Linked DNA regions of Callithrix jacchus. The protein of the gene in region 2 interacts with the protein of the main gene of each other region in a pairwise test. Links are inferred from orthologs where the notes say so. Each region holds a gene or a part of one and is shown on either strand. Other genes may lie near its edges.

The links. The genes of interacting proteins can lie anywhere in the genome.
Region 1: the proteins of UBXN11 (region 2) and EIF4E interact in binary tests that used the Homo sapiens proteins (3 or more experiments, as listed by UniProt). The link is inferred for Callithrix jacchus from reciprocal best matches to the Homo sapiens genes UBXN11 and EIF4E.

Annotation. Positions count from the first base shown.
Region 1 is NC_133504.1:98,576,288-98,579,940, forward strand, and holds part of EIF4E (eukaryotic translation initiation factor 4E), read left to right. Parts: intron 1-591; coding exon 592-687; intron 688-2,557; coding exon 2,558-2,621; intron 2,622-3,311; coding exon 3,312-3,425; intron 3,426-3,653. UniProt on the Homo sapiens protein: Acts in the cytoplasm to initiate and regulate protein synthesis and is required in the nucleus for export of a subset of mRNAs from the nucleus to the cytoplasm which promotes processes such as RNA capping, processing and splicing.
Region 2 is NC_133508.1:62,937,893-62,941,545, forward strand, and holds part of UBXN11 (UBX domain-containing protein 11), read right to left. Parts: intron 1,370-3,653; coding exon 1,243-1,369; intron 1-1,242. UniProt on the Homo sapiens protein: May be involved in the reorganization of actin cytoskeleton mediated by RND1, RND2 and RND3. Promotes RHOA activation mediated by GNA12 and GNA13.

The DNA of each region.
Region 1 (3,653 bases), on a different chromosome or scaffold from region 2:
AACATATTTTTTAAATGAAAGCAATGGAGAGCTCTCATTATTTGCCACTGTAATAGCAACTAGCATTTTACAGTTTTTTTTTTTTCTAAATTTTTGGGGTAAACATAAAATTTACCATCTTAACTATTTTTAGGTGTACAGTTCAGTTAATGTTAAGTACTTTGTGTGACCAATTACTGTGCAACTAATCTCCAGAACTCCTGTTCATCTTTCAAAGCTTTGTAAACTCTGTAACCCATTAAACTCCCCATTACCCCTTCTTCTTAGCTAGTGACAACCACCATTCTTTTTGTTTCTATGAATTTGATTTCTTCTTACACCTCATATAAGTGAAATCATATAGTATTTGGGTTTTCTTGGAGCAGGGGGACTGACTTATTAATGTAATGTTCTTAGCTTCTCATGTTTTATCAAGTGTTAGAATTTCTTTCATCAGAGTTTTAAATATTTCGTCATGTATATATATACTTTTTTTTCATTTATCTGTAGATGGACAGTTGGGTTGTTTCCACCTTTTGACTGTTGTGAATAATGTTGCTTTTAACATGGGGGTGCAAGTATCATTTTTTGACATTGACTTTTTATTTTTAGATGGGCACTCTGGTTTTTTAAAAATGATAAAAGCAAAACTTGGCAAGCAAACCTACGGCTGATCTCTAAGTTTGATACTGTTGAAGACTTTTGGGCGTAAGTAACCATTTGTTTTATAATGTTTGTTGTTTTATTAGCTGTGTAGTCTTTTTATTTTTAAGTTGAATTCACAAAATGAAGTGTGAGGTGAACAATTAATGAATGTTCATCTTTTTTTATCTCACAAATGTTTGAATTGGTGATTATGCTTTATTAGTTTTATAAAACTTAAATCTTGTCATCCCTCAGCCCTGATTATTCTGTTTCTTGTCCTGAGGTATCCTTTGCTCAGGAATCCTTTATTGCCCTTAGAACTTTGGACAATTAGTTGGAACTTGTTCTTCTCTTGGTTGACAAGATACATTTGCCTCATAACCAGGTATTCCAGTGCATTGTTGGGTCCTCATTTTTGCGAACTGTTTTTAGTGGAACATCTGGAATTTCCTGTACCACAGATTTTAAGATATCAAAGGCTGAAATGTTTGGAATTCAGGGTTTGTCAAGGGAATGCCAGTATCTATCATGATACTTCATTCATTTCATTATACTTTGATCAGTATCAAGAAGAATATTGGAAATATTTTTGAAATTTTGTTTCTGATATAGCAGAAAGCTAAGAATTGGGATCATCAACTTTTGTATGACTTCAAAGCAAAATTTAAGACTGGGCTCAGTGGCTCATGCCTGTAATACTAATACTTTGGGAGGCTGAGGCAGGAAGATCACTTGCGTCCAGGAGTTCAAGACCAGCCTGGTCAACATGAGTTCCTGTTTCTCTATAAAATATGTAAATTGTAACGTCTAAATTAAGAAGTTTTGATAATTGATTCTCTTAAAAACAAAGTTAATCCAGTGTGTCTAACTTATTTGGAGAATGAGTAGGGAGGGACTATTTGAGACCATGAAAGACAAAAGTCTTTAATAAGCATAAAAGCATTGAAACTTAATAATAACTACATTTAGGTCCTAATAATTTATAGGTCTAGTTGTCTAGTTAAACTAGGGTTATTCTTCTTTGCCTGTCATCAAACATCGGGTAGTTTTTCTTATATAATTATGTTTATTTAGAACTTTTAAATAACTCCAGCCTTCTGCACACACACACACACACACACACACACACACAGCTCTTCATTCTGCTACAGAGGAAAAGATTCTTAAGAGTTGCCAATTTTTTAAAAACCAATTTTGCTGTAAGTGATTACAGGAGATCAAATGATCTAAGCCTCTTGCCTTCAGGCAAGCGACTGAGTCATTGCAAATGTTATTCTGTTATTTTGATATTTGGGAAATAGTTTAGAAATACAGATTCCAGGGTTTCATTTCATATTTAGGTGGTTATAATCCCAAGAGGTAGTGCTTGGAACTATATTTTTCTAAAATCATTTTTAAAATGATTATTGTATTGACTGACCAGCGTCAGTTAGTGGTGTTTGCGAACCATTGGTCTATTCTCCTCTTGGATATTCTCGAGGATAATAATGTTGACTCTTTTAGCCACACAATCCCGATGGTCAGGAAGTTCATCTTTTCTGTTTTTTTTTTTTTTTCCTAATGTGTTTGTGAAAAAACAAAACTGTTGATTAATTTCAGAAATTATTTCATTTACTTAAAGCCACCATATATCTCTCTTCTCAGTTTCTTACATACACACATATGTATGCACTGAGTTAACTAACATATAAAAATATATTTTTGTCAGATCAATCACTAGAAATTTTTCGAAAATTATACCTGTCATCTGAAGTTGATTATTGAACTGCTTTTAAGATCTGTTTTGTCCATTTAAGAAATTGACTTCTTAGAAACAAGTAGACATGAACTTTTATCTGTTTATTTTTCATATTTTCTAAATGTATATATGTGTAAGCACCTAAACTCTGTATTACATATTCTGTGTTTTTAATTCTCATTTTCTTTTACCTAGTCTGTACAACCATATCCAGTTGTCTAGTAATTTAATGCCTGGCTGTGACTACTCACTTTTTAAGGTATGTGTAATTGGTGATTTTTATATATTTATTATAGGACTGGGCCATTTGGTAATCATTAAGAAATCTTGCCATAAACTTAGGAGTGTTTGATAGTATGGTGAGCTGGCTGATAATTTAATTGGCTTTAGTGTGCTTTAGTATAAATATATCTTACTCTTTTTGTTTATAAAAATTGAGAGAGGGTTATTCTATGGGTACCATACTGAGATTGATTTTGATGAGCGCTTTGATTATCCAGTCTACTCCTTCCTTTATATATTTGAGCAGACTGAGTTTACCAGGCATTCTTAACCTTAGGAGCATAGGCCTTTGGAATACTTATTATTGGGCCTTGTCAGGTGTAGGGACAGGACATTCATTAACTGAAATTGAATAGTTTTTGCATGTATTTTCTAGGTATAGAAGTGTACAGAGCTTCTAAAATATGTTTGCTACTTAGAAAAAGAACCTTCAAATTAAGTGAGACTCAAGATTTACTAGCTAATAAGTGACAAAGTCAAGACTGTAATTCTGCAGTGTCATGCCTCTGGCATTAAGTTTTATGTGCTTTTTAAAAACTACATCAGCGACAGCTTTATGGAGAATAAACTGAGAAGTTAACAGTGTTGTTGCTCATTGTTTCTAATGATTATCTCTCAAAGTCAAGGTAACAATATTGTGTAATACTGGTGTCTTCTAATCCTATAGGATGGTATTGAGCCTATGTGGGAAGATGAGAAAAACAAACGGGGAGGACGATGGCTAATTACATTGAACAAACAGCAGAGACGAAGTGACCTCGATCGCTTTTGGCTAGAGACAGTAAGTTTTTAAAAGTATAAAGCAGTTTTAGAGGTAGTTTTGGCATACTGAAACTTAATATATGTTACATTTTACATATGTTACTTGATTTAAGAGGAGGATGCCCAGCACTAGAAAATCAGGGTCAGTAATTACTTTTGTTCTGTCACGTGACTTCTGTTTATAGTACAGTGAAACATCCTACCATATTGTAAGTCAGATATTTGAGTGATTGGCAGTTGACTCTCA
Region 2 (3,653 bases):
AGTCACTCCTGGGATGAGAGGGCATTGAGATGAGGGCCCAGGTGTGCCTTACTCTAGTGCCTGGAGAAGCATCTTTTGGGTGACAATCTCCATTCTTTGAAGAGAATGGGCCTGGTTTTCAGAAATGGCCAGTTCTATGGACCCAAATCCATAGGAGGGGACTGTGGGGGGAAAATCCCTCTAGATATTAGTGGCCAAGTTAAAAACAAAACATGGTGGGAGCCCACAGAAGTAGGTGGATTCCAACAGCCATAGCGACCTGGAGAGGGAGGCCATGCCTGGGAATTTGGGAGTAGTTTCTAGAACAGACTGCTTTTTTTTTTTTTTTTTTGAGACGGAGTTTCGCTCTTATTACCCAGGCTGGAGTGCAATGGCACGATCTTGACTCACCGCAACCTCCACCTCCAGGGTTCAGGCAATTCTTCTGCCTCAGCCTCCTGAGTAGCTGGGATTACAGGCATGCGCCACCATGCCCAGCTAATTTTTTGTATTTTTTAGTAGAGACGGGGTTTCACATGTTGACCAGGATGGTCTCAATCTCTTGACCTCGTGATCCACCCGCCTTGGCCTCCCAAAGTGCTGGGATTACAGGCGTGAGCTTTCTTTTTTTTTTTTTTTTTTTTAAGTTGAGACAGAGTTTCACTCTTGCCACCCAAGCTGGAGTGCAGTGGTGCAGTCTCGGCCCACTGCAACCTCCACTTCCCAGCTTGAAGCAATTCTCCTGCCTTAGCCTCTTGAGTAGATGGGATTACAGGCATGTGCCACCACACATGGCTTATTTTTGTATTTTTAGTAGAGACAGGGTTTCGCCACATTAGCTAGGCTGGTCTTGAACTCCTAACCTTAGGTGATCCGCCCACCTCGGCCTCACAAAGTGCTGGGATTCAGGTGTGAGCCACTGCACCCGGCCAGAAGGATTGCTTATAAAAGCCAACAGCTTCTAGATGGGTGACTATACAACCTAAGGCAAATGAGGCCTTGCCACCTCTTGTATCTCTGGGTCTTTGACAGATAAGCAAGAGAGAGCAGAGGCGGGACTAGGGAGAAATGGGCCAGCAGGTTAAGTGCTGATGGAGGCTGAGGCCGCCCCTACACTGTGCCAGGGGCAAGGTGTGGTCTCTCCAGGGCGTCTCAGGTGGGGGGCCAGGGCATGAATCAGATGGGCCTCTGGGGAGCTGCTGGCCAACAGCAAGCTGTTGGAGAAATCCTTTTGAAGAGGGCCTGGGGGATGCCCTACTCTACCTGGCTTCCAGAACTTCCTGGCCGTCATCCAGTCCCTCTCGCCATCCTCTGAGACTGTCTTGTTCTCTGAGTCCTCCTGGTCCATGGGCTCACCCACCCACTGCAGGCCATAGTCGCTGAGGAACCGCTGTGGGAAAGAAGGGGAAGATTCCAGGGCACTGTCAGCTCAGCCCCTTCCCAGGGAAAGGCGGTGTCAGCGCAGAGCCCAGCCTCAATCCCCAGGCGACAGGGCCCCCAAGCAGACCCGACAAAGGGATGAGTGGGGGGATCTTGCCACTTCCTGGATGTGACCTTGGATAGCCACTTCAGCCCCTAGAGCCTCAGACTCCTCTTCTATAAAATGGAGATGACAGCACCTGCCACACAAGCTTAAGAGGAGGACTCAGTAAGATCACCCACGTCGGCGCCCAGCCCACACGATGGCTCGGTAAAGTCAGCCTGCTTGTCACGGGAGCCATGTGGCCTGGTGCAAGTGTGAGGAGGAGGCAGGGCTGAGGGACGTGACCCACGTGCCAGCCTCCCTAGGGCTTGGCTGCACGTCCCCTCTACCAAAGGAAACTTCTGAACTGTCTTAACGTCCACACCCCACTTCTCTTCTCAAGCCACGGGAACCTGGCTCCATCGCCACACCACTCTCAAACTGCTCAACGTGTAGCCACTGCCAGCCTTCCCACCGCCGAGTGCACAGGCATGTGTCTGTCTTTATCTCTATCTGCTAGTTTTCCTCCCATCTCCTGGGCTGTTCCTTTCCAATTTCCTTCACCGTTTCCCCCTCCCATCCAACACCAACTGGTGAGATCCCAGCTCCATCCACACATTCTCCCAAATATATATGGACAGAACCCAAATTTGTATATATGCAGATCTCACCTGAGCTCCAGACTCACATATCCAACTGTCTATACTTGGATGTCTAATCACCATGGCTCCCACCCCCGTTTCAAACCTCCCTCGCTGCAGGTTTTCTTGTCTCTGGAAATGACACCCCATCCACCTGGGAACCCTCTGTGGCCCATTCTTTTACAATGACCTGCAAGGCCTGGGATGTCCCCTCCAATGCAGCCTGGAACCCATCCGCTGGGCTCCATCTGCCGCCACTGCCCTAGTTCAAGCCACCATCGCCTTTCTCCTGGACAATCCAAACTAAAGCCCTTCAATGGCTTCCCATTCTTTCAGGACAGGATCCAGCTGGCACCACAGGTGGCTCCAAGGTGATTTGGCCCCTACGACCTCTTTTCTTTTCCCGTTCTTCTTTCTCTACACAGCCACCGACCATGAGCCAAGTTATGTGGTGGGAGGGGGCGCCTTTCCTCTCTCTAAGGCCTGGATCCTCTTCCCCATCCCCTCCTCACTCACCAGACATGTCACCCCCACAGTTGGTCCCCCAGTGTGCCTCTATGGGTGTCATCCATTTATTTATTTTTTGAGATGGAGTTTCACCCTTGTTGCCCAGGCTGGGGTGCAATGGTGTAATCTCGACTCACCACAACCTCTGCCTCCAGGGTTCAAGTGGTTCTCCTGCCTCAGCCTCCCAATAGCTGGGATTACAGGCATGTGCTACTATGCTTGGCTAATTTTATATTTTTTAGTAGAGATGGGTTTTCTCCATGTTGATCAGGCTGGTCTTGAACTCCTGACCTCAGGTAATCTGCCCACCTCAGTCTCCCAAAGGGCTGGGATTCTAGGCGTGAGCCACCATGCCCAGTGGTGTCACTCATTTAATCATGTCACAGCACTTTCTGTAGTTGTGTACCTGTGTACTCATTTGTCCCCCTCCCCCCAGGCTGGCAGTCTCATGTAGGCAGAGACCATGTCTGTCTTGTTCATGCTCTGCCCCAGGCCCACCCCAGGTAGATCCTCCAGATGAGGCTGTTAAATGAATGAAGTGATAACTGGGTGGCTGAGATGCACACAAGGGCAGTCATGCCCCCTGCCCTGAGGCTCTGGCACAGCCCTCACCCTGTGGCCACTGCTCAGGGACAGCCCCAGGTACAAACAGCCTGGAGCAGGAAGGGCTCTCAGCTGCACCTGGAGGGTTGCTGCCGAGGTCTTAAATTAGACCAGGGCTTTGGAAACCAACTCTGCATGGAGAGGGAGAGTTCTTCCTGAATCCCAGGAAGAACTTCCGGCAGGGCCCATGGAGGGGTGGGGGACACAGAGGACGTATGCATGTCTGGGACCCTTCCCTGTGCCTAGTGTCCCTCTAGTTCTCTTGCTGTTTGAATGGCTGTGTGAGTGGGGGGAAGACAGGTGACTGGGTTAACTGAGTTCTCAGTGAGCAGAACTCACAGCCAGAGGCAGCAAATGGCTTAACCAATTCAGTGCTGGGTCCCGGGTGCACAGCAATAAACAGGAGGAAATTGCTCCCTCCTTCGTGGAGTTCAGAGTCCCACAGAGAAGCGAGATGAGAA